4 linked regions of the Caenorhabditis elegans genome follow. The protein of the gene in region 1 interacts with the protein of each later gene in a pairwise test. Each region holds a gene or a part of one and is shown in the gene's direction. Other genes may lie near its edges.

Region 1 (6,433 bases):
CCACGTAACGCCTTTTCATGGAGTTGCCCCAAACGAGTGTCACACCTTCCCCGCGGCCGTTAAAGTTCTCTCGGTGGCTTTGAAATTACAAGACTCTTAAATTCCAGCCACCTACCTTCTACAGTTTTAAAAACTTACTAAAATCATAATTTTCCAGATGCTTTTTTTTTCAATTTTTGTGTGTAGAAACATAACTTTACGGCCATGAAACGACACCCCAGGTTTTTAAAGTTGCTAGAATCGCCAGATAATATAAATACGTATGACTCTGAATATCAAGGTTTTTGTCTGATTGTTGCCTGTATATTGTTGCGTGGGATATTCAGAGAGACCAGAAAAACGTAGGCCATTATTGTGCAGGACATGCAACAATTTCAAAATTATCAGCCACCTACAAGCCGACTTACTCCTGCCTCGTGCCTACACGCGTGACTACTGCCTTCAAACCCCCTTAAGCATGCCTAAGAACATCAAAACATGCCTTACAAGATTTATTAGAGATAACCATGTCGGTGGTATTAAAAAGATCACGTCAAACGGAAGAAATAAAGAGAGAAGTCAATCAACGCAACAGCGGGATGCCTCTTCTAATCGGGTTGCATCGCGACATCGGCGATCCGGACAAGGCTGCCGAGTCGCAGCCTAAGCAGAGGTGCTCGTGGAATAAAATTTCTGAAAAAGCCAAGGATATCAGGTGGGCGATTAAAAACCTGCCTGCCCTTATAGGCGATAGGCAGGTATGTAGGCAAACTGAGGAGTTTGCTCCAAAATGCAGAAAGTAGACTATAAGAAGGTTACCTGAAGTCAATACTTAACATTTAATAAACTGAAAATTCTTACAAATGATCTGTCATATTTGAAATCCTGTAAAACATCTCTGAAGCTATTAAATTTTTGCAATTTAAGCTATTAAAATGTTGACCCAAAACTCCCTCCAAAGTTCCCAAAAACTATAACATGTCAAGTACATAAAATGTCCTTCCCTATCCATAACCTAATGATCACCTGTCAATTCTAGTTACCTAACAACATAAAACGCGTACCGCTCTTTCTCCTCCACCCAACAGTGCGCCAGACGGATCCCTTTACAACTCTCTGGTTGGTGATGATGTAATTTGGAGCCGCCGGCTCACCGCAATACTGTCGGAGCACAAAATTCAGGAAAATGATCCTGATTGAGAACATGGTGCATGCATTAACAGATAATTTGTTTTTGAAGGGAAAATCAATAATTATCTGGAGATTAGATATCTTGTTTTTAGAGATAGTTGTAAACAATGGCAAATTGTAAAACCACTTTAGATGAACCTGGAACTTTCGGGAAATCTGGCAACCGAGCTACAAACTACAAACTACAGAAAATCAATCTACAAATGTTTTTTTCAGTCAAGAACCGAGATATCAGTTGCACATGGTGCATCGAACACTAACAAGATTAATCAAAATTTGTCACGTCCAGTATATCCGTAGTAAAAGTGAGAATTAACCTCAATGATTTATCATCCTGCCCGTGTCCTTCTTCCCGTTTATCAATATTACCGTAGTGGTGATGGTGGTGGGGGCATCGAATATCGTCGTAAAATCGTCGTTAAACAAATTTTATGAACTCTATATACAAATCAAGCGTGTTATTATTGTTTGGTAGAAAGATTGGAAAACGATAAAGAGAGGTGAACAGGTTTCCTAAAATATCCCCCCGGAGATTCATTTCTAGCAAGTATTTGGAGAAAGATGAAGAGGGACTGCACAATATTTAAATCGTTGAACCAATAAAATAATAATCACAAACTTGGAGCATTTGGAGCATTCGATGACGATTTTCTAGAAACTGGGGAAGTTATGAGGTTTTTGGATTACATTTTTGATTGGAGTATCATGAACATTTTTTAGAACTCCTTAATAATAATTCTTCAAACGACAAAGAAGTTTCAACCAAAAAATTTGTCAAAAAGTGTTTCTAACAGAAATGAAAGTATGTAGAGAGAAAGTTGGGATAAAGTAGGTTGAGAAGTATCCCACATATCTCAAAAAATATTTGGTTTATCAAAAAGTTGTCAACTGACAAATAGTCGAGCAAAATGTCAATTGAAAATTCCCTCGTATTATTGATTTTTGGGAAGTTACAGCTGTTCAAACTTTTAATTTTGTCTATTTTCACCTTTGAAACTTATTCCTTCACACAATTCCCCTTTTTAGCATCCCGCCAAACATCGAAAAACCACGCCTACCAGTGTTATCGCTACCGTACCCCGCGGTCCGCCTTCGGGAAGGCAGGAGTGGGGCCGTGGCATCCAGGTGAGACCCCAGGCTCACTCTCAGCCACCAATCTGTTTAGTATTCACTTTTACGCGAATTTTCCAATTTACCAATATTTCAGTTTTTGCCCGTTTTGATTGAATCCTTATTATAATATGAAATTCCAGAGAAAAACCATGACAGATCAAGTGTATGTGACACTTCGAGAAGATCAGGATAAGCTGTGGAACCTCTTCCATTATCATAAAAACGAGATGATTGTCACAAAATCCGGCAGGAAAATGTTCCCGAAGCTTGAGTATGTGGTCAGAGGTCTCACGCCGAACAAGCTCTACGCTATGATGCTTCATATTGAGCCATCCGACGATCATCGGTACAAGTTCAGCAGTGGAGAATGGGTCAAGTCGGGAAAAGCCGAAAAGCACAGGGAGCCAAAGAAGTTGTGGCATGCGGATGGAGTTAGAAGTGGAAAGTGAGTTTTTTTTTGGAATGCTTTGTTAGTTGATCTTTTATTAGATAGCGCAGTCAGGGTTGGAGTACCTATTTTTCAGCAGGGAATCAGAAAATAATTTCAATTTAGAACTGTAATATCTCAAAGGAAAATAAAAATACAATAGTTGCTTACTGATGAAATGTTTATTATAAAATTTTCTACAGTTTTCCAATTGACAACTTTTTTGTAATGACTGTTTCAAGCAAGTTATAACTACTTAAAAATGTAACACATCGCCAACTTGAGCATGTTAACTTCAAACTGTTATAAAACTACGGGCGGTTTAAATATCAAATATCAAATCCTTTTCAAATAAATTATCTGATTTTCTGTATATCTCCCTATAGTAACTTTTTTCCAGAGAATGGATGACCAACCCAGTTTGCTTCGATCGTGTAAAAATCACAAATTGCGCTGAATCTACAAATGCATCAATGGTAACAGCCATAATTCTTTTCTCCTTCAACCTCAGCATTTCCCAATTTCTTCCAGATTTTCCTTCACAGCATGCACAAATACACACCAGTAATGTCAATCTACGAGTCCCCATCGGAGAGCCCATTCAGCGTCCCACAACCATCGACCCGTCTTGTCACTTCTGTTCGACTCACTTATACCGAATTTATTGCAGTTACAGCGTACCAGGTAACACTTGTTTGGGATCTAGATAACTTTGCCTATTGAGCCCGCATTAACACTTGCATTAACACGTGTGGCTCTCTATGAGCCACATCTTCTGAAGGGTGCGAACACTAATTGTTTGAGGGGTATTGTTTTGGGTTTTCTGTGAAGTGAAAGGGTTTGACACAAAACAAATAGAAGAAAAGGATATTTAAATAATTGTTGCAATTTTTTATTAGAAATTAAAGTAAAATGGGTAAATATATTAATATAAATTTTTAGTCTCATTCTTGATTTATTAAGATTTCCTCAAAAACCGTAAGAGAGCTATCATGAAATTTTTGACCTATAAAATGATGTATACTTTTCAAATCTGAAATAACTTTTCTCTTAATTGAAAATATTGAAAAAACACTCAAAAATTGTCTGAAAGCTGAAAATAGCTTGAAAAAAGTTTTGATAGTTTGCCGGCAGTTTTTTACCGTTTTTCCGATTGTTGCAACTGTCTCAGGCGGTTTTAAAGACCAACAGCAAATAATTAACTGCATTATTTAATCTACAATTTTTTATTTTCTTGAAAACAGCGAGGCATCTCAGAAAGTTGTCTTTTTTCCATGGCTCAATCAAAATGTAACTCTTAAATTCAAAAACTTCCAGAACGACGCAGTAATCAAGCTGAAAATCAAGTTCAACCCATTTGCCAAAGGATTCCGAGAGGGAAGCCAATCAGACAGAAAACGAAATTCTCCATCCGCCGACGACTCTACAACAGATGAAAGCTCATCTCAAGTCTCTTCTCCTCAGCCAAAAAAGTCACGAACCGTGTCAGTATCACCTCCATTGATGCCACGGATCCTTCCAACAATGATTCCACCACCACCAGCCATCAATCCCCTTTTCTACAGTCTCCCCTACTTTTCCCATTTGGCAGCCACCGGGAACTTCCCGCCTGTACCATTCCAATTCCCATTTGGACTTCCATGCTTCTCCCCAATGTCATTTCCAACACCTCCGCCATCTTTGAAAAATGTCAAGAAAGAAGAGCAAGAGGATATTGAGCAGGAAATCAATGTAGTTTAATTGCAAAATTTAATTATTAATTTTAAATTGTTATACTTTAGTTCGGGTCACATGATCACTTTTTCTGTTAATTTTTTCTGCATAGAAGATTTTTTGTTTCTGAATTTGGACATAATCAAATAAATTTTATACGGTGTAATTATCTTCCAGACAAGTAGGCAGGCAGGCAAAAATGCTCTTCTGCGGGCATTCACAAAAAATAGGTCTTCTATTGCCCATGCCAATTTTTTGAAAAAATAACTTTAACTTTAAAAACCAGTTTTTTTGCGGCCTTTAAAATTGAGCAATTTTTCCTTTAAAAAATTTCCAAAAAACACCATGGCCGAATTTGTATTTTTCGCGGCCACGAGACTTCAATTTTTCATGGCAATGTTTTAAGAAACTTTTATGGTTTTTACAGTTTAAATTTTTTCCACCATAGAGCATAACTTGCCACGTGGCCGAAAAAAAACGGTGGCGGAGTTTCTTCAATTGGTTCTTTCTGCCACCAAGACTAAATGCGGGGCCGAGGTTTCACACGTTCTAGGCCACGCAATTTCTTTTTTGAACTGTTTTTCTTCTTTCCGTTCCTTCAATTTTCTCCGTTATGGCCTAGACTTTCTTGTGAAAAACTATAGTTCTTTCAATTTTGAAATTGCGAAAAATCGGCAAAGTCGACCTGCTCAATATGATGACGTGGAAGATTCTGCATGAGAATTACACAGTGTGTCATCACCCCTCTTACACTTTTGTTCTCTCCCATCACAGCCTCCCATACACACAATTTCACTACAGTTTTGCTCCTCGCGCGGCTTGATTATCATTATGTTTATATGGTCAAAGCCGAGTTTGAAGTACGCCCGGGCGGCGAATTTGCATAACCCCACAGAGAGACAAAGTACTGTGTCGGTCATGTTCGATCAGTGGTTAACAGTACATGTATATATGAGATTTGTTTTAAAAGAGCAGCTTCTTCTCTACCACCACCACTTGAGTCTACGTTTGCCCCACAGAGGGTGAACAAACGGCGCTAGGAGCCCGAGTTATTTCGAGATGTGTCACTCTTTTACAAGTTCGTCGCCACGTTTGACACTTTTTAATTTTTTTTGTGTTTTGTGCATTGGTAATTAATTTGTATATTTTTAAAAGTTATTTGAAAAAGTTGGGTCTCGCCGCGAAAATTTCGAAAATTGTTTTTCAGTCCAATTAGTTGCTATAATAATTTTTTGGTTTTTTTCTGTAATTCCTCAGCTTTCTGCTTTTTTAAACACTCAAGTTTTATTTTATTACCGTAACTCCCTTTAAAAAAATTGCCCAGGCATGAAATTTTGTGAAAAATACGGTATCCGATCTCGACACGACAATTTTTTGTTAAATAAAAACGGGTGTGCACCTTTAAAGTGTACTGTACTTTTACACTTTTGTTGCTTTTATATTTTCGCCGATTTTTCATAGTTTTTATTACAAGTTATTACAATTTATTGATTTTTAATTTTTTTAAAATTCTAGTTTTAAATAAATAAAGATTTTCAACGAAAAATTATGAAAAATCGATGAAAATTCCGCAGCAACGAAAGTTCGAAATTACAGTACTCTTTAAAGGCGCACATCGGTTCGTAATTCACAAAATTGGCGTGTCGAGACCGGGTACCGTATTTTTTCCCATTGAGCAAGTATTTTTATATATTATAGTTTTACAGGATATTTTAAGTTTCGGTTTTAGTTTTTCTACAACAGCTTTTCCATCATTTCCCAACTTTGTTCCAGGTGACACTCGAATTCTGCCAATTTTCACACGCAATCCCAGCGCAAAACGATTTAAACAGTAGAGTATTTAGTAAAGTAACGATGTTCATGCTTGTTCAACGAGAAACACACATAGTTTTGTTTGCTTAACGGATCAGGAACTTTTCCAATCATTTGTCTCCACTTCTACCTCGGTTAACAATGGGTTTAGAGAGTTCAAGCGTGCTGCTGAGATTTCCGGAAAATAGACAATTTTCA
Region 2 (7,731 bases), 5.9 Mb from region 1:
GACGTGTCTTAGTGAAGGAGCTCCCGTCGAGCTAGACAATTTCAAAGCTGAAAAAGCGTCTCTCAAATATTTCCCGCACTGACGAATTTAATGATACCCTTGACTGGAAATCGCGCGCGCGAGAAGAAAATTATATGTTTTCGGTATTGCTTTCGGCATTTGAACAAGAGCTTTTCTGAGAAAAATATTGATTCAGAGCATTGTACTTTTTGGAAAATTATTCACAAATATTTTTAGACTAGCTCACTGATCTCTTGAGATGAAATACCGACAAAAGAGAATACAAAACTCTTTCACTATAGTGATACCGTAGAACAAAACAAATCCCCTTTCGGCTCGGATTCGCACCTCACGGTCTATTTTCTACTGGCCGCTGGGTTCAATCAATATTCCGATGCATCTCCTCCTTGGCCGAGAGGTTTGATGACCGGATGGATCGAAGAAAGGCAAAAAATTTACGGGAACGTAAATTGATAGATCACATTTTGCTCCATCGAAATTATTCACATATCGCGAACTAACTGTGCGGTACAGTCAATTAATCAGTCAATTTACGGAGCTTTATATCGGGGATTGAATCAGTATAGTATGCATATGGTTTCTCTTCAGCTCCCTGAAATTACAAAAACTCATAGTCATGCTAGTAGAATTTAAGCGAGCGCGGTTAATGAGTAAGCTTTCGAAAACAAGGTGACGTGCCAATAATTATCAGTTACTTATTGGTTGACGCAGCTGGCAAAACGGGATGTACAGATAGAAAGAAGTAAGCCGAAAAGCTCGTTCCTACGAAAAAAATCAGACAATTGAAAAATTGGAACTGTGTGGTGGCTCAATGTCCATTTTAGACTATAGTTAAAATGGAAATACAAAAGAACAGTTGGCGTGAGCATGGCAGATGGTGCCGACGGCAAAACCTTAAAGATTCTGAAGCTGTGAACGAAAAAGTTGGGATTCTTAATTAGGTGACAACTCTTACTGGATTGGAAGAACAGACTTTACCACCTGGATAAAATATGTACAGTTTGGAAGAGCAATAGTGTTACAGAGCTCATATAAGGGATTTGAGGGGATAATTCTGGAATCAGGAATGAATTAGATTTTGGAAGCCATGCTGACACAAAGATGTCTCCCCAAGATGGTACTCGGAAAGGCAGTCATATGTTATCTTCGCCAGGAGTGTGCACGGGCAACTTGCTCAAATGCAAAGGACCAAGATATAGAAACTATCCAAAAAAGCTTCAAAATCAAAAATTCTGAAAATCATGAAAAAATGGGCACGGGAACGCCTCAGTTCCAACTGAAGGAATGATGACGGCCGGCGGTGTGGTGGGGACCGAGAAGATTGAGGCCCTTTTGGCTACACGCAATTACAGCCACAATTCACTATTTCTCTCGCTTTATCCATTCTCTCTACACCACGTACACCCAGCAATTAGCTACAATATAGGGCGGGGTCCCCCTGTTGAGGCACACACACTCTGAAAGATAATTGGGCTAAATTATACCTCAACCATTTTTCTCTACTGCCAGCCTCTCCCCCCGGCACTTTTCCAAAATAATTGTCTTGTCTCTCCCCATCCGCTCTGAAATCATCATTAAACAATTTGATATGTAGGGGATCGAGTTGTGAAAAAGTTTTCAGATAAATCTTCTGATAAGATGGTCACCTAGCGACCCCAATGGCTCCACCCAGAGAATACTGTGTCCAATAGGAGACGACTACTCCGCCCACAACCAACGTACCGCCCATCAGTTTTGAGGTGTCTCCTCTCCACATCCCGCATCGTCTCTCTTCCCCCTTTTGCGATGGTGTGTTGTGCTATGTGTATGTGCCTACTAGTGCCCATTCCCTCCCACCACTACCATCATCATAATCTTCTTCTTCTTCAACTACTTCTTCTTCATCTGAATCTTCTGAATCTTCCATCTCCTCCCTTATTATCCTAATTCATACCTTTCTTCTTTTCCTTCTTCTTTCACTCAAATTTTAGGTAATCGTCTTGTCTCTCTCTCTCTCTCTCAACTGCCATCCATCTGAAATTTTAAATTGCCGTTGATAATTGACCCGAAATTTGTTGAAGTTGGATCTTGTGTGGGGGTGTGAGAAGTTTTTGGGGATCATAATGATAGGGTTATGACTTCGGTGCATCAGTTCAGCTAATTCTAAGTCTTCAAAGTTTATGGTAACTGATTTTTGTTTAAAATGCATGCTAGATGAAAGTTGTTATCGTTATCATGTACTTATCACTTGATGAATTTCCTGTCCAGCTTCTCCATCGCGAAACAATGTGGCCGCGTGGCGCAATGGATAACGCGTCTGCCTACGGAGCAGAAGATTGCAGGTTCGAATCCTGCCGTGGTCGAAACTTTTTTCTCATCTCACATTCGTTTTTTTTTATTTTTGAAAAGTTGATGCTCTTGCTACTACGAAATATTTGTTTGCCACGTCATTACTGATAATGTTATGTTGAATGTCATGGCACTGCTCCTCTGTTTAAACAGTAGAGACTAACTAAACTAACCGAATAATCATGAATCAAAAGTTTTGTCGTCGTTCTCGAAGACTTGCAAAAACCAAAGTGTGAGAACTGCAACCTTTCAAATGGTGTGAGAATTTTAAAAGTTTTCAATTTCATTCATTCTACTTCTTCACCTTTTTGTCCATTTTCAGAGTGTTTATTCCGATTACGTCTCATTTCTTCAGTTCTTAATTTTGTATATTTTTAATTACTTTCTTTTTCAGATGGACCCATCAAAAGGATTCGAATATGTTGCTGGAGATTATTATCAGACATCTGGAGTAGCTCCACCCACAAGCAACGGAGCTGGATCTAACGTTTCCCCTTATTTCCCCTACCATGCTTATCCGACGTCATCAACGAATGGAGCAACTGGTGGTTCTATGTATGGTACACCACAGCAAACGAGTGCCTATGCAATGTATCCTCCTGGGCCAGGAAGCTCACCTGAAGGTATGAAACTCGGAATTGAAAAAGCTTTGGAAATTGCCAACTGCTTTAACTTGGTCTCCTGTTGACACCTAGGAGAGTTGATAAGTACCTTTTTTCATCTTCAAACTGTGGCCGCGTGGCGCAATGGATAACGCGTCTGCCTACGGAGCAGAAGATTGCAGGTTCGAATCCTGCCGTGGTCGAAGCTTGTTAACTAATTTTATTTAAATTTCATTTAAAAATTTCAAAATCTAAACTAAAGATCTTGAAAACACGTCATTGTTCTAGGTTTACCAATATCGTCAAAAGTAAAAGACGTCAAACGCGATCTAACATTAGCACTTGTATCCAATGTGTTACTTTTTCTAGAGTTTCTGACTTTGACTCCAAATATCTAGATCATTAGAAATGGAGGTCTATGATTTGCTTTTGATTTGGTTTCGAAATAGATAGCATCAAAATTAGCACATAAAAGGGGTTATTATAAAAAAAGTTTGCAGAAGCTTTTCCCGAGCACACAACTACAAAAATCGTGGAAGGATGTGAGGCGAAGTACAACGTGAAAGGAAAGAAAATGAGGAAACCACGGACAATTTACAACTCATCACAACTGCAAATGCTTCAGAAAAAGTTTGTTTTTTTCAAAATTATTTAAATTGCAAATTTATTAATTCAAATTCATTTTCAGATTCCAAAAAACACAATATCTGGCGCTTCCGGATCGAGCAGCATTGGCACATGAATTGGGATTATCACAAACTCAGGTAACTATTTTTGTTATTTTGGGGAGATTTTTGTATATAATGCAACTTGCTCGTAAGATATGATGTACTAGGCCCGCATTTTCGAGAAACATTGAAATCTTTGCACGTGAATTAAAAAGGTCCGGTTGCGGTTTGATCTACAAAAATTGCGCGAAATTTATTTAAAATTTTTGTGACTGGCGCGTAAGTATGGTGCATCGGGGTAAGTGTGTTTCGTAATTTAAAATTCTAAAATTTAGTTGAAAATTAACAAATTGGCTGTCAATTTTCGAACAATTTCCGCTTACCCCACTGCCATATCAATGACCTTGACGAAATGCACACCATCATGTAATAATCCAGTCGTAATCTTCCTAATCCCTCGATCCAAGTCCCCCTCCTCCTCTGACACACACGTGTCTTCATTTGATTCACCGTAAAAACAGTACCATTAACTGTGTCTTGAGAAGGTCGTGCATTCCTCCAGTTTTATACGCGCTATTGAGTTTAGAGAATTGAAGAATGTTTGGAAAAGCGGTCGCAATTTTGACATAGATGCTGGTATCGCCTTTTAATTATTGTTTTTGATATCCCGAGGGATATGAAATGAGAAAGCTCTCAACTAACACATAATTATGCCACGTCAATAGGAGAAGAAGCTTTAAGAATACACGCGCTCAGGTGTTAGATGCTTATCGAATTTTGAGAAGTGGGATACGGGTATATCAATCATACCGTAACAGAAACATGTGTCCTGCCAAGATTTTATCTAAAGTCAGCGGAAACGGACGGGGGGCGGACGCCTGATTGACAGGTGTGACACATTGGTATTGGGTGTCCGGAAAATTGTGTGTGGATTTTCTAAACCAATTATTTAAAAGTAGCGTGATCGAAAAAAAATCCGAACCGAGCAAAAAATATGAAAACACAACCTCGATGCACCATGATTTACGCTTCAAATTAGATCGCTAAAACCGGCGTGAAAAATGTGGTGCAATGTTCATAAATCATTCTGCCAAAACTTGAGATTCTGAATCCAGTTTACCCAGTTCATGTTTCTTTCAAAAATTTTGGGGTGATTCTACAGTACACTTGATTCTTGTGGTTAGACATCCAGCCGGTTAGTTCATGAAAAGAGTGAATGTGACCTCTATAGGAATCTTTGCCTCTATTCAACCACATACTAGCGGATGGCTAATTACTCTTCTTTTTCCCTCTCTTCCGTCTTTTCACGGATGTCATACAGGGACACGCAGGGTCTATCTCTCTATGTATACATTGCCCAGTTTTTGCAAAATCGACGGATCGGAAACCAATTGGCACACCGGCCCCGATGTGGGGCTTTTCAATAAAATTGCGCTAAAAATTTAAACAAATCTTTTAAAATTTAGAGAGCACAACCGATCACTGAATTCCAGGTGAAAATCTGGTTCCAAAATCGGCGTTCGAAGCAGAAGAAACAGAAGGGTGGAAGTTCGGATCATGCATCAGATGAAGAAGATGATGATACGGAAGAGTCAAAGCCTGAAAGTCCACCGATGGGAGAATCGGTTATGATTCAGGAGAGCAGTGAGCCAAGAACACTTGTATCTAGTTCAATTAAAACTGAAATGAAAGAGGAATATCCACCGGTTAGTGAAATGTGCTGATTATCTGATAACCAAGTCTAGAAATATTTTGAATAATTCTTTGAAAACTTTTTTGAGTTGCAAAAATCCTTCACCGAAATTTTGCTGTAAAATAAAGCACGGTTTTGCTGTCCGAAAATGCAACCGCCTTCAAGCAGTTTACGTAGGCACAAAAACTCGTGTGTGCCTGCGTGACTGCATTGACAAAAGCACACGCATACGTGTAACAGATACAGGTACGAGTTTGCATAGAAGGCGACCACGCCTGCCTCGTAGGCACGCAGGCAGACACTCTTCGTCTGCTTTCAAGCTCTTTCGCAAAGCATAATAATTCCTAATATTTTTCAGATGACACTCAACGAGCAATATGCTTCTCCTTACCTCTACGGATCCGACTTTTCAACGATTCTCCCACCGTCACAGGGTTTCCCCAACAATGCGCTCTACAATACGGCAGGCGCTTATCCTAGCATTGACTACACAAATGGAGTATACCAGAATACTCTTTACAAGTATGTCTGAGGATATAATATTTCCTTTTTCTTGACTGTCAGTTAATTTAAAAAATTCTTTTTTACAAGGCTCTTGTAGTACCTTGCTAAAATATGTTCACTTTTGAATAAGCTGTCAGCCTAGAAAATATTGATTTTCTCGATGATTTGTGTTTTTTTCTTTCCAAACTTTTCTATGGTCTCATGGTTTTTGATATATAAATCGATATTGAACGTTTGCTTTTTTAAAGTTTTTTACTTGAAAAATGGCAGAATGCCAAGAATTATCAATCGACGAAAAGTTAAATTTTTGTATTTTTGAGTTTCCAGACAAAGTCTCCTAATTTTTTGGCAAATTTCGTATTTAAAATAATTTCTTGACTTTACTATAATCCAATAGTTTCCTGGTTTTATAAACTGTACGGTTTTTTTAATTGTTTGATTTTCTCGGAAAACCCCGATAATTTTTTTTAAATAGAAAAATTGGAAACAAATTCTGAATACACTCTTGGGTGGAGCCAGTATTTAGTCATTTTGCAACTAACTTGAAGATAATTTTGAAACAGAACCGTAAAGAAAAACTTGGTTCTTCTGAGCTTTGCAATTCTCTGTCTAATTTTTACAAAATACAAAGCCGCCTGCTTCTCTACCTACAATGCGACTTGCAGTAAAAAAAATAGGCGGTAGGCACGTAGGCAGGCAAGTAGGCACACAATAATAAAGTAAAACTTTTCCATAATCTGAAAATTTTGCAGCTCTACCAACCCAACATATAAATCACCGCATCATCTGACCTCATCGGCTACACCATATTAGTGCCCCTGCAAGATTCGGCGATAGTCTGCTCATTTTTACATTTTCAAATGCCTTCCAAAACCCTCATTTTCAGGTGTAGAAGACTTTATTATCATTTTAGACATTTGTTTGAGATTTTCATTCAATTTTTTAAAAATTTAAATTTAATGTAACATTTTAAATTCAATTAAAATGAAATCCCAGCTGAATTGAATGATTCTATCAAATAAATGATGTATTCAGAAGGTCCCGTTTGATCTCTAGAAATCGCGGAAAACTAGATTTTTGGCGCGATTCCTTGAGATCAGAGCCAGTTTACTTTCTGAATACTTACTTCTGAAAAAAAAACTTACTTTAACTGTTCAGATCTCTACCGATCTTCTTTAAAACTCCCTTCAACCTGTGTGCTTTTCCTCATTTCTTTAAAACTTTCTTTCCCTTCCTCATGTCTTCAACTCAATTTCACCGATTCCAGTTTTTTTCGTCTTTTCATTTTAATCCAACGGCCAACCGGGTGCCCGTCTTTTTTATTTATAATTAGATTCCTATCATATTGATATACTATCTTTTTTACTGTAAATTGTACTTTTAGTGAATAAAAAATTAAAATCTTCATACTATTTTGCAAATATAAAGAGTTTTTCTTAAAGTTAGCAGCGGATTTGATATTTTACTGTAGATATGATAGTGGTACGGTAGATGTATTGTAGGGAAAAATATTTAGAAATTGTTTTTTTTGTTCAAATGCTAGCTTTTTTTAAATCATGATTCTTTAAACAATTTTATTATAAATTTTTTATGCCAAATAATTTTCTAAAAATTAACACTTTGAAATTCCCGAACAAAAATGTTTTTTGAAAAGTTAAAAATTTGAATTTTTCGTCTAAAGTTGTTTAAACTAAAGTTATAATTTTAACGCTTAAAAATTTTCAATTTTTGCGATTTTTAAAATTTTAAACTCTAACTTTTATGTTGAAAAAAAACGCCGACAAGACACGACAGGCAGGCAGGTAGGCGCCAGGATCCTGCCTGCCTGTCACAAATTCCAAAATTTCAACACTAAATTTCATTGACATTTTCTCAATAAATCACTCATCAGTCTGTTTTCACATACCGCCCGTTC
Region 3 (5,592 bases), 3.9 Mb from region 1:
GCACTATGTTCGTGCTCTGAACTTGACTCTTTCCTAGCCTTCTTTGCGCCCTTTTTACCGTTCGCTGGCGTTTTTCCATTTGATTTCCGTTTCGGCGGCATCTAAAATAATATATTTTATTAGAATCATAGGAAAATGGTTAGTTATGATACAAAACTGTCATAAAGTTGGCGTAACTACGGTAAATCAATTAAAGACTTGAACGCAGAGAACGGAGTTTTTCTCAGGACATTTTCAAGCGATTAATTAGATTAACTTTCGAGATTCTAATGGCTTTTAATAAAAGAAAATGTAAATTAAGTACCCAAAAAAAGTTTCGTGAACTGCTTGAATTAAAGGTACATGGAATTTTCGAAGGGTCTCAAACGGAACACAGTGATTTTAAAAAATCGATCGATTTGTCGGTTCTTATTTATTTAATTTTTTGGACTTTTTTCATCTTATTTTTGAAAACTGTTTCTAATTGTTTTGATTGAAGCGTTAATAAGACCGAGTAAGGAATTATCTTTAAATAAATTGACAAATTTTGAACATAATTTTCCGCACTACGATGAAAAAAGTTAAAATTTGATTATTTTTGCTTTTAAATGCTTCTTAAAAGCAATAAGAGAGAAATACACATTCAAAACATTAAAGCAAAAAGCGTGCAAAAATCGAAATAGAAACTATGGGCAAGGAACGGAAAAGGCGCAAGCTGGACCACTGGCGTGTTCGACGCAAGCCGTTTCTCTCTCTGCGACTCTCCTCACCCTCACCCCATAGTGCATTCCTGTTTGTTGTTTGATCGTATAACCAGCCTCCTTTCTTTTCACTCCCTGATTTCACTATTTCTTCCTCTTTTTTACTATTTATTCCATTAAAATACAATTCTGGGTTTTCAAGGTCAATATTTCTTCCTTATTCCTGATAATTCGTATCGATTTCCCCTGACATCCTTTCTGGCCTACAATTATGTGGCGTTGTGACGTAGACCGCTGAATTGACAAAACAGTCGAAAACGAACGGGTGGACGGCACCATTCTTTGTTTGCTGCTCAATCTTACAACGACTAAACTTTTTATCGATTTAGCGTTTTATCGACCGCAGCATAAATAGGAAGGGAATGGAATAGAATATACCGATCGTTTTCTAATTACCCATTCATAATCGATTAGCTGCCAGCATCAATAAACCAGCGGCTGCATCTTCTTATGTCATTCAGATTCTCGACACCGATTCGATGTTCTTTTTTTCAGCATATCTTCTTCGTCGGGCTCTCATGTAGTCGCATTGAAGAATGACAAACTGCATTTTTTATGCGATGACACTCTTGTGCACGATGTTGCCATCGATTTGTTGCTCTGTTTCTCATAGTTGTTTTTTTTCAATTCAGTCAAAATTAATAGATCAATAGGACATCTAAATTTAAAATTCCAGTTGGTATAATATTTAAAATATAAATAGAAACATTAGTCATGCGCATGGCGTCAAAATTTATCTAAATTTTAATCTTTGAGTATCTTTTCTGTTTAATTTTACGAGCCCAATAAGTGTATCTATTATTACGGAAATATACATTTTAAAGTTCAATTCCATAATTTCAATCCACCATTTTTTACACCAACCACCGACATCTACCGTGAGTGCAATAACGCTCCACGGCACTTCCCGCCAAAACCATATGACTGCACACCATTTGAATTTAGTCGCGTGTGCACGACATTGTTCTTTGTGCTCAGCTCTCGTCAAAAACCACTGAATTTGATTTCTAATGAGGTTATTCACGAAATGTGGATAAATATCTTAATGATGATGTTCTACTCGGTCTTTTGATATTTGGAAATTCAACGGAATCGGTGAAAGCCCACCCTTTTCACAATAGAAACCTTCACTTTCTAAAAAAAATATTCCTCCGAAAACCCATTCAATCTGCTTTACGCATCTCTCTGCCCGCTTCAATTTCCTCTGTTACCCTCTTCCCAACTACTTTTTCAGGTACATCCAAGATGGCTTTTCCATTTTCAATTACAGTATTCAGGACCGATGAAATCATATTGAATATCTGGGTTTTTGAAACAACACATTATAATATTTTTACCCAACCATTTCAAAACAAAAAAAATAAATTGTGGGCGAATATTTCTATTATTTCTATGACACCTCTTTTGCTTCTTTATAAATTTCTCTATTTTTACTATTCTCCTCACCCTACAAAATTTATTATTTTTTCAGCGGTGTCACTCGAAGGATGAAAGTTGCCGCGAAGAAGCTGGCAACGAGTAGAATGCGAAAGGATCGTGCCGCAGCAGCGTCACCATCTAGTGATATTGAGAACTCCGAAAATCCATCGTCTTTGGCTTCACACTCTTCATCTTCAGGAAGAATGACACCGTCGAAAAACACAAGGAGCAGGTATGATTGATTAGTGACAAGAGGGATTGTAATAGAACGTTTAAAAACTTCAATATTTCTAATTGAATTCACAACATATTCACAGAAATTGTCCAAGCTGAAAACTTCAATTTCCAAATAGTTTTTCTTTCAGAAAAGGAGTGTCGGTGAAAGATGTCTCAAACCATAAAATCACAGAATTCTTCCAAGTGCGGCGAAGTAATCGGAAGACGAGCAAGCAAATTAGCGATGAAGCTAAACATGCTCTTCGCGATACCGTACTCAAGGGGACTAATGAACGACTTCTTGAAGTGTACAAAGATGTTGTGAAGGGGCGAGGAATTCGAACGAAAGTTAACTTTGAAAAAGGAGACTTTGTTGTCGAATACAGAGGTATGTAGATAACACAGATAATTGTTGTAATATTGTTTTTAAAAAGTATTCTAGGTGTTATGATGGAGTACTCGGAAGCAAAAGTGATAGAAGAACAATATTCGAATGATGAGGAAATCGGATCCTACATGTACTTTTTTGAGCACAACAATAAAAAATGGTGTATCGATGCGACAAAAGAATCTCCATGGAAAGGACGACTCATCAATCATTCCGTGTTAAGGCCGAATCTCAAAACGAAAGTGAGCATTTCAAAATTTGAAATTTATTAAGAAAGTCTTTGATAAATTAAAAAAATGTAAATAACAATTCCAAAACTAAACATTCCAGGTGGTGGAAATCGATGGGTCGCATCACCTGATTCTCGTCGCCAGGCGTCAAATCGCACAAGGAGAAGAGCTTCTCTACGATTATGGAGATCGTTCAGCAGAGACGATTGCCAAGAATCCATGGCTTGTGAACACATAATATGTTGCTCCACAACATCTCTTCGATCTGCTCAATCCATTTCAAATGTTCATTTACCTTCACGAGTATACTACTGTAATTCCCTTCATTTTCTCATATTTTCCACGGCACTCGTGCCCAATCCTCTCATTACTTCGTCTCTTTCAACCGCCTTTTCTCATTCTCACAGCGAATCAAACCTGAAACAAATCTCAATAACGAGCCGTAATAACGTGCTCATTTATGATAATCTGGATCTCGTGAGTATCCAATTCTGTACCTTTCCTGTTGACTTTTGAAAAGTCCCTTGTTCTTTCCTTTCATTGAAACCTGAAAATCTCCTCACTTGTTCCACTACGAAATGCCTTTAATATCTTTAATTCTTCTGTAAATTTCTCGTTGATCGCCCATTTTTTCCTGAATTATTCATTTTTGTGGTGTACATGAGGTGCGAGTTGGAAACCTACTTTAATGACTGGTTAACGCTAAAATCGTTTCCATCCCTATCGGAAAACATTATCAGCGTGCAAATCTCAATTTTTCATTTTGAAAACAATTAAAATCCATAAATTTTGCTACATTAATCTTTTTTTACGAGTATATTCCGTTTTCCGGTATAGCAACCATAAGAATTTATCTGAAGATGGTAAAATTCGGGAAAACATTAGAGCTTACAGTTCAGAGAAAGATGCATCCAATTCTGAATGTGGTCGTCGTTAGTTTCCATCACAAGCGAGGATGTGAGGTAACAAAAATGGCAAACTATCAGAAAAATCAGGAAAATATGATACATAAAAGAATAAACTCGAAAACGTAACGATTAAGGTCATAAATGTGCAGGAAAGTAATAAAATGGCAATATAAACTACAAAATCGCGTATATTTTGCAGTTAATTTGAAATAAATGTTACAGTCAATCGAACATTTCACAAAAAGCAGAACGTTTTTGGTACTTTTTACTATTTTTGCAGTATTTTTCATATACATTTAATTATTAAGTTTTGTATTATATGGAGTGAAGATTTAAATTCAAGTTCATCAACTCAATTTGTAAAAAATCAATAAAATAAATCTTGTAGGTAGAATACTCGCACCCGAAACTCGATGGCACGGGCGAATCGGGATTACCCGATGAATGGCATCTTCTTCCATCACTGGCGTTGCCGGATGGTGTACATAATTGTCAAAAAGATACAATATTCTTTTTGCTTCCATCTAGAGAAGAACCTGGAAAATCGATATTTGGCATCTCGTGTTACAGACAAATCGATGCAAAAGTGAGATTTTATATGACTCTTCAGATAAAAACTGTTTGACTTTGCAGGAATTAATAAATAAATCGGAAGATGTGACTAGGACCAGTGTTCAAAAAGCTGTATGCGTTCTTTCAAGAATACCACTTTTTGGTCCATTAAAAGCAAAATTGGAAGTAATAACTCAGGCATATTTTGAACAAAAAGATTTTTCGAAAGTTGATGTTCTTGCTCAAATGTATACGAATCTTTGCGATATATTCGACGAAAATCTTACTGGAGAATACTTTTCAAATCTAGCTCATCATGGTACGTTATTGAATCAATTTACTAAAATAAAACATGAAAATAGTTTCAAATGTTCACATTTTAATTAGCGATATCAGTTTCAGAAATATCAATTCAAGAGCTTTTTATACGATTCCGTCACCGAGCTCTACTGCTTTTTAAATTATTCCTATTAGAGCGGAAAGTTTTATTCATTGCACCAACTGGATTACGATTAGGAGAAACTATGCTGGCTATTGTTTCAATGTTTCCAAGTAAGAATATACAGACATTTTAAAATCGTTTAATTTTGAATTTCAGAGCTTTTGGAAGAAGGTCTGTTCTACGCAACAATCGGGGTCAATACGAGTTGTCATTTCAAAAATGTAAATTCAAAAACTGAAGGAAAAAGCGAAGAAATAGTGATAGAAGAGGAGGTTGGTGTTCAGCTTTCACATGATGATCCATTGAAAGAAAAGGATTCGTGTGGATTTCCTATAAGCTTATTCACACAAGGATCATCATTTGATCCATATCTATCAATTCAATCAATGGATTTAGTCCCGAAGACTCAGAGTTGTATATTTGGAGCTACGAATGCCTTATTTGCGATGAAAAAGGATTTATTTGATGTTATTGTGAAGGTTTGTATTTTAAATTAACAATTTTCAGGTTTCTAACTAAACTTGAGTAATTTCAGATCGAAGACGACGGTTCTCTTGTCCATAATCACATTGAATTTGTCAACGACACAGCATTGGAACGAGTAGTTTCTCTAACTACTGCAGATCTTCGATTCGCTGATTTTATTCTCAAAAAAGTCGAAGAACAGGTTAAATCCTCAAATGCTGAATTCGATGGA
Region 4 (9,799 bases), 570 kb from region 1:
AAATGGATTTTTTATAAGACGAAAACACTTAAAACTGTGCTTTTTCATACAATTTTGCCGATTAAAATTGAAATTTTCAAATTTCCAAAAAAATTTTGCAAAACCACAATTTGCAGAAAATTTTCGGCAATTGCCGTTTTTCTGGCAAATTTGAAAAATCGGCAATTTGCCGGTTTTGCTTATTTGCTGGAAGTTTTTAATTCAGGCAATTTCAAAGTGTATCCTTAAATTCTGAAATTTCTTCTTGAAATTTTTAGCCAAATTTTTGAATATTTGAGAAATATGTACATTTTCAAATGCTTACAATTTACTGTATATGCCCATAAAATTGGATTTTTTTGCACTTCTTTTTTCTCGTAGCGCTCTTTTAAAAATGTTCACCGAGACTACCGTACCCCAAAATCTCTTTCCCCGTTTGTCTCAAAACCAAAACATAAGCTTCATCTCGTAAATGAATTTGTTCAACATACTATATCATGTCACACAAACCGCGCTGCCCCCATATTCATAGTTTCCCTCTTGGGACTAATGAAAGAGACACCCCCCTCTTTCTAAAACCATATTGTATCACTCTTTGTGTCATTATATCCCAAGGGGTGTATTTTACGAGCGGAAAAGGTGTGTTTGAACCTTCCGAGGGGTTGAAAATAAGATTTTATCACCTTTTCCGGTTATGGTACTAATTAGGAAATTAACACAGGTGCGATTACTTACATTTTATGCATATCTATTACGAGTGATCTTTACATAGTTCGTAGGTAGGCACGTGCTTTGGCCTACCGCCTACTCGTACGCCTCATTGGTGTGATGTGAAAGAGATGTGGTATGAAAACTGATTTTTAGAATATTCCGACATCTTAGGTACTTTTGCAGGTAGGAAAAATCTCCAATTCTTCTTAAAATAACGAATAGCGTAGAAAATCGGAAAAACTCGGCCACATGCTTGTAGAAAACAATTTTAAAACTTGGCCGAGTTTTCTGAGGTTTGAGATTTATTTCTAGTCCACAAACTAAACCTGATCTGATTGTTGTAGAGTACTCAAAAATTTGTGTTAAGTAATGGCCGAGCTTTTCTGATTTCTAGGCCATGCAGCTAGGTAGCTGAAACCACCTACGCAACATTTTTCCAAAAAGTTTACTGAAATTTCTAGACCATACTAAACTGCAATTGTGAGTACTGAGAATAGTGAACGTTTTTAGATTTTAAAGTCTTTTCTCTTTTCTGAGTAGATGGAGCGCGATGGAAAACTTGATGAAGAGATAAAGTGAAAAAAAAACAATGAAAGCGCGCTCCATCGGACAAAAAATGTCGGAATTTCAAAATTGCCGAATTTTAAAATTTTCGGCAACCGCGGCCCACCCCTGGTTCGGAAGTTCCAGTGTTCTCAGGCACACTGCCTATACTCAACTTTTGAAGGGACATGCCCTACAAATAGAGTAAACATTAAACCATTTTGTATTGTCTTCCACATGTATTCAAGTGTATCAATACCAAAAAGTAATGAAATAGAGAGAAGGGGGAGCGGAATGCCTGATGAATGATTCATTCTCTCTCTCCCGATGCAACATTTAGGGGAGATACATGCAATGACAATAAAAGAGCTGCTTAGTCATGTCACTTAATGACTTTTGATGAGGCTTTCATCACTTTTTGATGGGGAGGAACACTTTTTTGTTTCCATCTGACTTTGTGGCCTAATTAAGAAAAACTAGGCCATTGTGTAGATGGCTTTTAAAGTTTTGAAAAAAAGGTTATGGGAATCCCAAGAAACTTCAAAACTCTGATTTCGCAAAATTGAATTTCTATTAGAACGGTGAGATCATACATACCAGGGGTGTGCGGCAAATTTGCCGAATTTGCCGTTTGCCGAGCTCGGCAAATTTCAAAAAAGTAGATTTGCCGAATTTGCCAAGCTCGGCAAATTTCGAAATTTGCCGCACACGTCAAAAATTTGACAGTACAATTTTGACTAAAACTATTGATTTTTTAGCCAAAAATTTAGTAAAATGATACAAAATTGAGCTATTTTGATGCTTAAACAGACATTCTACGCGGAACTTATTCAGAAACCAGATGTGTGTTAAGAATTCAGTAGTTTTGGTGCTCCAAAAAATATAAAAAAATATCAAATTTTTCCGAGTTTGTTAAGCACGGCGAATTTGCCGAATTTGCCGAATTTGCCGTGCTCGGCAAATATTGAAAAAAGAGATTTGCCGAATTTGCCGAGCTCGGCAAAAGTGGCCTAGAAAATTCAAGTTAGGCCACCTGTCAATTTGAATGTTGAATTTTTATGTTGAAAATACTTACATAAGTTTTTTCATCCGTTTCACCTAGCTAAGCACATGGCCTAGAAAAATCAAAATTAGGCCACCGTAAAAGAGAAAATAATTTGTATATTAATATGAAACATTGAATGAGCTAAGGGGCTCCAGTTGCTTTGTGGCCTAAAAAATTTGAACCCTCGGCCACCTCCGTGAAATTTTCGAAAATTTTCATTTTGAATTTCATCGTAACGGCCGGGAACTTTAGCTTGATCACGTGGCCTAGAATACTGAAGTTTTTTGAGAACCGTTATTGGGGAACTTTCACGCAGGTACCTCGTGGGTATTAGGAAACATGGTCTAGAAAAAAAATTAGACTGTCTGCAAAATAATTTTAATCATTGTGTAATATTCTTCATTGTAAGGGCCCTAGAACCTTTACTTGGTTACGTGGCCTGGAAAACTCAAAAATTCGGCCACTAATTGGTTTTTTGAAGTTTTACTTGAAAAAAAAAATGACCTGATGTTTTTGAAAAGCAATACATTTTCTCTTAATATTAAATTTCCAAAAAAATGCCAAATCTGCCGTATTTTAAATTTCAAACGTCATGGAAAAAGATTATTATCTAAAGTCTCTTTCTATTCCAGCACTCCTTCCCCTCTTCTATTGGCCGCCCTTCTCATCTGAGCGTGGGGCGTGGCCAAATCCACCGTAGTCACCGAGAGGTTGAGCCCCGCCCAGCGCCTTATTCTATTGTTTCCTTTATCTTTGAGTTTTAGTACTCAAGTTCTTTTATTTGAAAAAAAAACTATCAAAAATTTTAAAAATTAGCATGCAATCATTTGATATTGAGTCCCTTATTGGGGTTAATAAGGTGAGATTTTTTTGTTTTGTATTTTGTTTTGAGAACCATGTTTTTTACTTTTGTAGAACTGTTATTTAATGTCTGTAAACTTCTTGTTGTCAAAGATCCATTAAAATTAAAGTTTCTAAATTTTTGTAGTTTTTTAGGGATTTTTTCAACTTTTTTGATAACTGTAATAGGTAGAAATAAAAAATTATATAATTTCATGCAATAAAATTTAATGAAAAATTATTAATCTAATCATAAAAGTTTAGAAGATTTATGTTGCTAAAATTTTATTTGATAACTGTAAAAGTTTCATTCAGTTTCACAATTTTCAAGATTATCGGGCGTTTGAAGCTTAAAAGATAATTTTTTTAAAGTGTTTAAAAGTGGTTATAACTTGGTTTGTAATAATGCAAGCAAAAAATTTTCAACAAACAATTTGTTCATTATGTTTTAAGCTATAATTTGTTAGTTGTCAACTTTTTGATAACTGCATTAGTTGCAGAGTTATGGACAATTTAATTAGGTTGCATAATCAAAAAGTGTCATATTGCATAATCTCAGCTATAATGCATAGTTGCATAGTTATTTGAATTATTGAAACATTTAAATTCTAATTTTTTAAAATCTGTTTTGCTAGAAGTTTTTAAATTATTCTTTAAACTATTTTCTTTTTTATTAATACTTTGAAATTTTGATTTAAGAAATACAGAAAAAAAAATTAAAATCGTTTTTTGAAAAGTTGAAATTACCGAAAATTATCTATTTTGACAGCCAAACTTCAGTTATTTCTAGTATTCAAATTAATTCCAATTGTAGTTGAAAAATAATTATGTCTAGTAAAACAATGTCGATTTTATTTTCAGATCAAAAACTGTTTACATAAAAAAAGTTGTTTTTACCTCTTTTAATCTAGAAAAATTTGAAAAAATATATCATTGAAACTTTTTCGACACCCTAAAGTCTTTTAGCCGAACTCTGAAGACCCCCGGACAGCTCCAGGATGATGCAACTCTTAGTTTCTAAGTAAAGCCTCCCTGACACCCCAAAACTGTTATGGCCTAGTTTTGGGTCCCTAGGCCACGTTGAGCATAAAATCTACTTTAGCCCCATCACCTAGGACACACCCCCCCCCCCCATCCGAACACATAAAACATCTCGTAATTCGAATTCTCATTTCCAGGTCCCATCACTTGTGGAGATGGTCGCCGCATCTCGAGCTTCCTCATTTTCCCCTCCATTTGAGCAGCAGCATCATGACCCGATGGGTGTGGTGGCCGCAGCGGCAGCAGCAGCAGCCGCCGGACGTCATCATCCGTATGGTAAGAAAAATGGGTGTGTGTGTGCCCGAGATGAGAAGGGACATAATTATTCAAGAATACTTCTTCCCCTAGCTTCATCTCCTCGCTGAACACTAATTTAGTCCCGTATTTGGGTGGGGGTGACAAATTGAGGGAGATTGATTGAGGTGGAGGGGGGTGAGCGGATGGATGAGGTTGACACGAGCAAATGGACAATGAGCACCTATTATGACACGTGGGAGTAGTGGAGCGGGTAGGCAGTGGCCGAGTTTTTTCTAGGCCACGGGCTAGAACCAACGCGTGAAAGATTACAGTTACCTCCGAGAAGTGACTGAGGTTGCCTTTTTTAGGCCAAAAGTATAAACAAATTTCCACATTCTAACTTTGATAGTTTTTACAGTTTGGTTTTTTTTAAATTCAAATTCCCCGCCAAAAATTTCTCCGCCAAAGTTTCTACTCTGAAAATTTGAATTTTCCCGTCACAACTTTTACTGAGTGAGATCTTTTGAAATCCCCGCCAATGCTTTTTCAACAAAGCTGTACTAGCTTCCCTTTTCTTGATGGCCTAGAAAACTCAACCACGGCCATGAACTTTCAAAGGGCTAATATAGTTCCATGTGCTCCTCCCTGAAAGTTCTCTTTGTGGCCTAGAAAATACAATTTCAATAGGCTTCATATCTCCTAGAACATGGCGTGGCCGAATTTTTGCTTTCCAGGCCAGACTTTTTCCTAGGCCACGCAGCTCCCTGTCATCATAAACGATGTGTAAATGTTGCGGTTTCGACACAATCACTGAGTGTGAATGAGGATTGTTTGGTGTCGGCTATTATATCGTAAATGTTCTCTCTTTTTGTTTTACACCTGCCCCCCCCCCCCTCTCGGGGTACTGTAGACGCGTCGTTTAGTGGTCAATTATCTATGTTAGTGTTGCGAATGGGTTATATGATCACTGATAGACACACTGGGAAACATGCTCTGATGTGCTTAACCTCTTCCCCCTCTCCCCCGAAGTCAATCGCCCTAATGTTGCCATGTGTCATGTAATTGGTGTTGCGTGTCGAATCAGTTCATAGACACCCTTAGTCGTAAAAAGGGGAGTGAACCAATTATTTAATTAGGACACAATGTTCCGGCCGGGCAGGTACACGGGTGAAAGTGGGAAGGGTACATCTGGCCTAGGGATTGCAAGCTCGGCCAGGCTTATGTCATGTGGGCTTTTAGACTAGCTAGTCTTTTGGTCAGGAGACAACTATACCGCTGATAAGTATAGGAAGCCGGGAGTTTCTGCTTTGCCTAATCAACCTAATCTAACTACATCTATAGGGCCCAAAGCACCATCATATACTAATAGCATAGAATTCTCAAACCCGGCCAAGTTCCGTTATGGTGTCCACAACACTCTTAGTTCCACATGACCAAGAAAGCTCAATCTGAGCCATTTTCCTTTAGATCGGCATATTGTAAGCTTGACCTGGTCACCTAGAAACTTCTAATTCTGCCACCACTTTTTAGAACTGTCCAGATCACCCTTCCTTACACATGGCCTAGAATTCACAAACCCCTCCTTCCCCTCAAAATCTGAAGGGTTAACAACAGTCTTCCCTAACGGTCTAGAACCTTTTGAATGGGCCATATTCCTTCGAGGGATCCACAACACCCTATCCATAACCTAGAATCACCTGGATACTCCAGTCATATGAGCGATCCACAAAAGTATACTCCTTCACCTTCTCATGGCCTAGAATTCCAAAACTCGGCCATCCATCTCCTCTCATAATCCCTCTCACTAGGATAATGGGTGGAAATTATGTTTTTCATCAAGAAATGCATGTATTAATTCCGCATCGCCGGGATGCTAATAATGAAAAACAAGAAGAGTCAATTTGTGCCGTTTATTGATGAATTTTAAAGCACTTTTAATTATTTAATTCTGTATGACGAAAAACATAATTTGCTCCGTGTTTTTGTCGTCGGGAAGCTGTTGATGAAATGCTGATTTATAATAATTTCAGATAACCGAGACGACGGTCAAATGCGGAGGTATCGAACGGCTTTTTCACGAGAACAGATTGGGAGGCTTGAGAGGGAATTCGCAAAGGAAAACTATGTTAGCAGGAAGACACGTGGCGAGTTGGCGGCAGAGTTGAATCTTCCAGAAGGTACAATTAAGGTAAGTTGAAAATAGAGAAAAATTGGATGAAAATTCCTAGAGTATTAAATGGCTCTAGGCTACATCATAGCTCTTTGGGCGACCTATAATATTTCAGACCAAGTCACTACAGACGGTTTTAGCTATTACTGACAAGTCTAGGCCACCACTAAGAATTCCAGGCTACCACGATCTCTTTAGGCCATCACTGAGGATTCTTTGTAATCAGAGTTGATTGTAGGCCAATTTTAAAATTTCTAGATCATCAAAAAGCCATCGCTAAGGATTCTAGACAACTATTGAGAATTCTAGGCTACCACTGAAGATTCTAGGCCACGGCTGAAGCTTTAAAACTAGAACTAAGTTTTCTAGGTCATCAGTAAGGATTCTAGGCCACTATTAAAATTCTAAGACTACGTTAAGCTTTCTAGAGCACAATTGAGAATTCTAGGCCACTCACATGTTTGAACACATTTTGGACGTTCGTATCTCTGAAAATATCATAGCTATCAAAAAATTATCAACTACCAAATTATTCAAAATTCAATTTTCTACATTTTATCAGTTAAAAACATTTTTATAGCTACAAAACTGACAAAGTTAGAAGCAGATTTCCGCATCATAATAGGCTACCGTACCCCCGTCCCCCTGCCGCCGTCATCGTCAAATCCAAATCATTTCCCATGACATACACGCGGGACCCGCTGCTTCTTCTGCATATCAATCTCCCTTGAAAAATGAAAAAGCTGAGAGGACAGGAGAAAACGGAGGGCCTATGAGTGATTTCGGAGTATCGCGCCTTTTATTCCCACTGGCATACTTTTAGAACTTCGTAGCCTCTTCAACTAGTTACAATATGATTTTCGGGGGAATTAGTATAGAAGGAGAAGGGTTAGAAATTTATGAGTTAGGCTTCGGCTTAGGCTTGGGCTTAGGCTTAGGCTTAGGTTTAGACTTAGGCTTAGGCTTAGGCTAAGGCTTAGGCTTAGTCTTAGTCTAAGGCTTAGGCTTAGGCTCAGCCTTAGTCTTAGACTTGGAGCTAACGCTCCCCCACTGACGCTATTTAGGGTTATTAGGCTTAGGGTTAGGCTTATTCTGGGCGGGGGAAGAGATGAAAGGAAATCCTAGAAAATTACATGGCCTAGTTTTTTCCAGTGTCCTAGAAATAAAATTGTTGGCCTAGAATTTTCTGAGATGACCTAGCGTTTTTCAAAATAATCTAAAACTTCCTAAGATTATCCAGGAAACTTTAAAAACTCAGAAAATCTCCAGATGTCTTAGAAATTGTTCAGATGGCCTAGGAAATTTTCTGGTGGCCTAGGAACTATAATTTATGAACTAGAAAATTAAACGGTGGTCGAGGAACCTTTGACATAACCCAGGAATTTTTCTCGATGCATTTCCGACATGACTCAAAATTTTGAATTTTTGTGAACTTTCCAAAAAATTTTTAGGTAGCCTAGTAAACTTACTGATGGCCTAGAAAACTCTCATTTGCCCTACTTCAAATAAACTTGTGGAAAGTGGCCAAGTGGCCATTACTCGCAAGTGACTCTCGATTTTAGTCGAATTTTCTGAAATATTTCTTGCAGGTATGGTTCCAAAATCGTCGAATGAAAGATAAACGGCAACGAGTCGGTGGTCTCGCGTGGCCCTTTCCTCCACAAATGGCTGCCTACATGTTAAACCCATTTGCATATGAAATGTGGATGAAAACAGCTGCCGCCTCACAATTCGGAGCCACGGGTCCCGGAAATGGAGCTTATGGGAATAATGGATCAAGGTGAGTTGGAAGATTGGCAATATTGAAGTTTCTTCACAATTTTTGGAAATGTTTGGAATCGGAACTTTTTTTTTCGTAAAAACCAAAATAAAATTGTGAAAAAATTTTAGCTAAATAAATTATTTAAGGTTTTTTTTTCAAATTTTTCCAAATATTTTTCAGCACATCTCCATCAGCAGCTGGATCTCTTCCATTCCTTCCACCATTAGGTTTTCCATCATTTTTATCACAAAATTCAACAAAATCTCCATCTTCTCCACATTCAGACGATTCCTCAAAATCGAAGAATACCTCAAGTGATGATGATGAATCAAAACCTGTAAATTTTTCAAATAGCCCTTCCTCAAGTTCTCCCTCGCCTTATTCTACAGATTAATTCACTATTTTTTGGAAAAAAAAATCGGCAAAAAAAGGGGAAAAATGGACAAAATTAGCCAGGTGGCCTAAAAAATGTTCATGGTGGCCTAGGAAATTCTAAAGCGACCTAGAAATTTCTAAAGTGGTCAAGAAAACTCAACGGTGGCCTAGGAGATTCTAAAGTGGCCTAGAAAATTCTAAGATGACCTGAAAATTACATAGCTGGCCTAGAAATCGCTCTGACTAAAATTAGGCTTTTTCAATAGCCAAAAACACTTTTCGTGGCCTAAAAACCTCAATTTTTGCCTATTATCTGCCAATTTTTTTTTGTTAAATTTCCACAAAATTTGTATTTTCTTCGCTTTTTTGTCTCATTTTACAAACAATCTCTGACACACTGACGGTGAAATGTTCTTTTACATTCTTTTTTTTCTCCATTTTATTGAATAGATGTTTTATTTGCTTCCCAATCTTTTTGTTCATATTGCACTGAATAAATGATTTTTTCCGTGGCCTAGAAAACGCCTTGAAAGTTTCTAATTATTCCAATTCACAAAAAATAAAAATTTAATGACGTGATTAACAATTTTATTTCTCGTTTCCGAGGTTAGATTCCTATCAATTTGCCACAACAAAAAAAAAATTTGCCACAAGAAAAATTGTGAAAAAACTATTTTATCGGAAAACAATTCATTTAGAATTTTTCTATTTTTGCCTGAACAATAGAACTCACTAATATCATCATCGCATCAAATGTCATCAAATTCTACGTAAGTTGGGGAGTTTTGAGGGGCAAATGTGGCAGCCGACATTTTGCTGGAATCCTGTGAAGTGTCGGCTGCTCTGCCTTTCAATTAGTACTGCTATAACTGGCAGGCGCCAGGTAGGCACAAGGAAATAAATGCAGTGAAATTTTATGTAAGCTTGAGGAAGGCACGAAGGTGGGCATGAGCTAGGTAGTTAGCCGGGGTTCGCCGGTCTGTGAATTTAAAATCGGATGCCCGGTTTCCCGCCCTCAATGCTTCAAAGCAGCCGACGTCTCATTGGTTATTTTGACACAAAATATGTCGGCTGTTGCGAAACAGCGAAGTCCCGC

What was found.
Region 2: the proteins of tbx-8 (region 1) and ceh-43 interact in a two-hybrid assay, tested with the Caenorhabditis elegans proteins (one large-scale study listed by BioGRID).
Region 3: the proteins of tbx-8 (region 1) and set-1 interact in a two-hybrid assay, tested with the Caenorhabditis elegans proteins (one large-scale study listed by BioGRID).
Region 4: the proteins of tbx-8 (region 1) and vab-7 interact in a two-hybrid assay, tested with the Caenorhabditis elegans proteins (one large-scale study listed by BioGRID).

Annotation. Positions count from the first base shown.
Region 1 is NC_003281.10:10,345,152-10,351,584, forward strand, and holds tbx-8 (T-box transcription factor tbx-8), read left to right. Parts: upstream 1-2,423; 5' UTR 2,424-2,432; coding exon 2,433-2,728; intron 2,729-3,110; coding exon 3,111-3,186; intron 3,187-3,241; coding exon 3,242-3,394; intron 3,395-4,027; coding exon 4,028-4,450; 3' UTR 4,451-4,589; downstream 4,590-6,433. UniProt on the Caenorhabditis elegans protein: Transcription factor. Involved in the control of early morphogenesis of the intestine, hypodermis and body-wall muscle. Involved in regulating expression of vab-7. Appears to have partially redundant function to tbx-9.
Region 2 is NC_003281.10:4,444,956-4,452,686, reverse strand, and holds ceh-43 (Homeobox domain-containing protein), read left to right. Parts: upstream 1-2,743; coding exon 2,744-2,972; intron 2,973-3,077; exon of another isoform or gene 3,078-3,156; intron 3,157-3,451; coding exon 3,452-3,581; intron 3,582-3,639; coding exon 3,640-3,715; intron 3,716-5,085; coding exon 5,086-5,325; intron 5,326-5,670; coding exon 5,671-5,844; 3' UTR 5,845-6,037; downstream 6,038-7,731. UniProt on the Caenorhabditis elegans protein: Probable transcription factor. Binds to the sequence motif 5'-ATAAT-3' in regulatory elements. Required for development of the anterior hypodermis during embryonic morphogenesis for cell adhesion; also affects embryonic and larval viability.
Region 3 is NC_003281.10:6,448,992-6,454,583, reverse strand, and holds set-1 (Histone-lysine N-methyltransferase set-1), read left to right. Parts: upstream 1-2,211; 5' UTR 2,212-2,227; coding exon 2,228-2,391; intron 2,392-2,524; coding exon 2,525-2,763; intron 2,764-2,809; exon of another isoform or gene 2,810-2,817; coding exon 2,818-3,005; intron 3,006-3,016; exon of another isoform or gene 3,017-3,093; coding exon 3,094-3,231; 3' UTR 3,232-3,792; downstream 3,793-5,592. Other genes in the region: jhdm-1 (JmjC domain-containing histone demethylation protein 1), read right to left, coding at 1-101; T26A5.6 (UDENN domain-containing protein), read left to right, coding at 3,899-3,955, 4,290-4,487, 4,535-4,772, 4,850-5,005, 5,052-5,374, 5,431-5,592. UniProt on the Caenorhabditis elegans protein: Histone methyltransferase that specifically monomethylates 'Lys-20' of histone H4 (H4K20me1). H4K20me1 is enriched on hermaphrodite X chromosomes and during mitosis. Involved in dosage compensation by repression of X-linked gene expression in hermaphrodites.
Region 4 is NC_003281.10:10,917,291-10,927,089, forward strand, and holds vab-7 (Homeobox protein vab-7), read left to right. Parts: upstream 1-3,053; 5' UTR 3,054-3,095; coding exon 3,096-3,137; intron 3,138-4,296; coding exon 4,297-4,435; intron 4,436-6,426; coding exon 6,427-6,584; intron 6,585-8,155; coding exon 8,156-8,346; intron 8,347-8,508; coding exon 8,509-8,722; 3' UTR 8,723-8,751; downstream 8,752-9,799. UniProt on the Caenorhabditis elegans protein: Transcription factor. Involved in motor neuron fate determination and maintenance, acting as a transcriptional repressor to counteract gene activation by transcription factor unc-3 in a subset of motor neurons.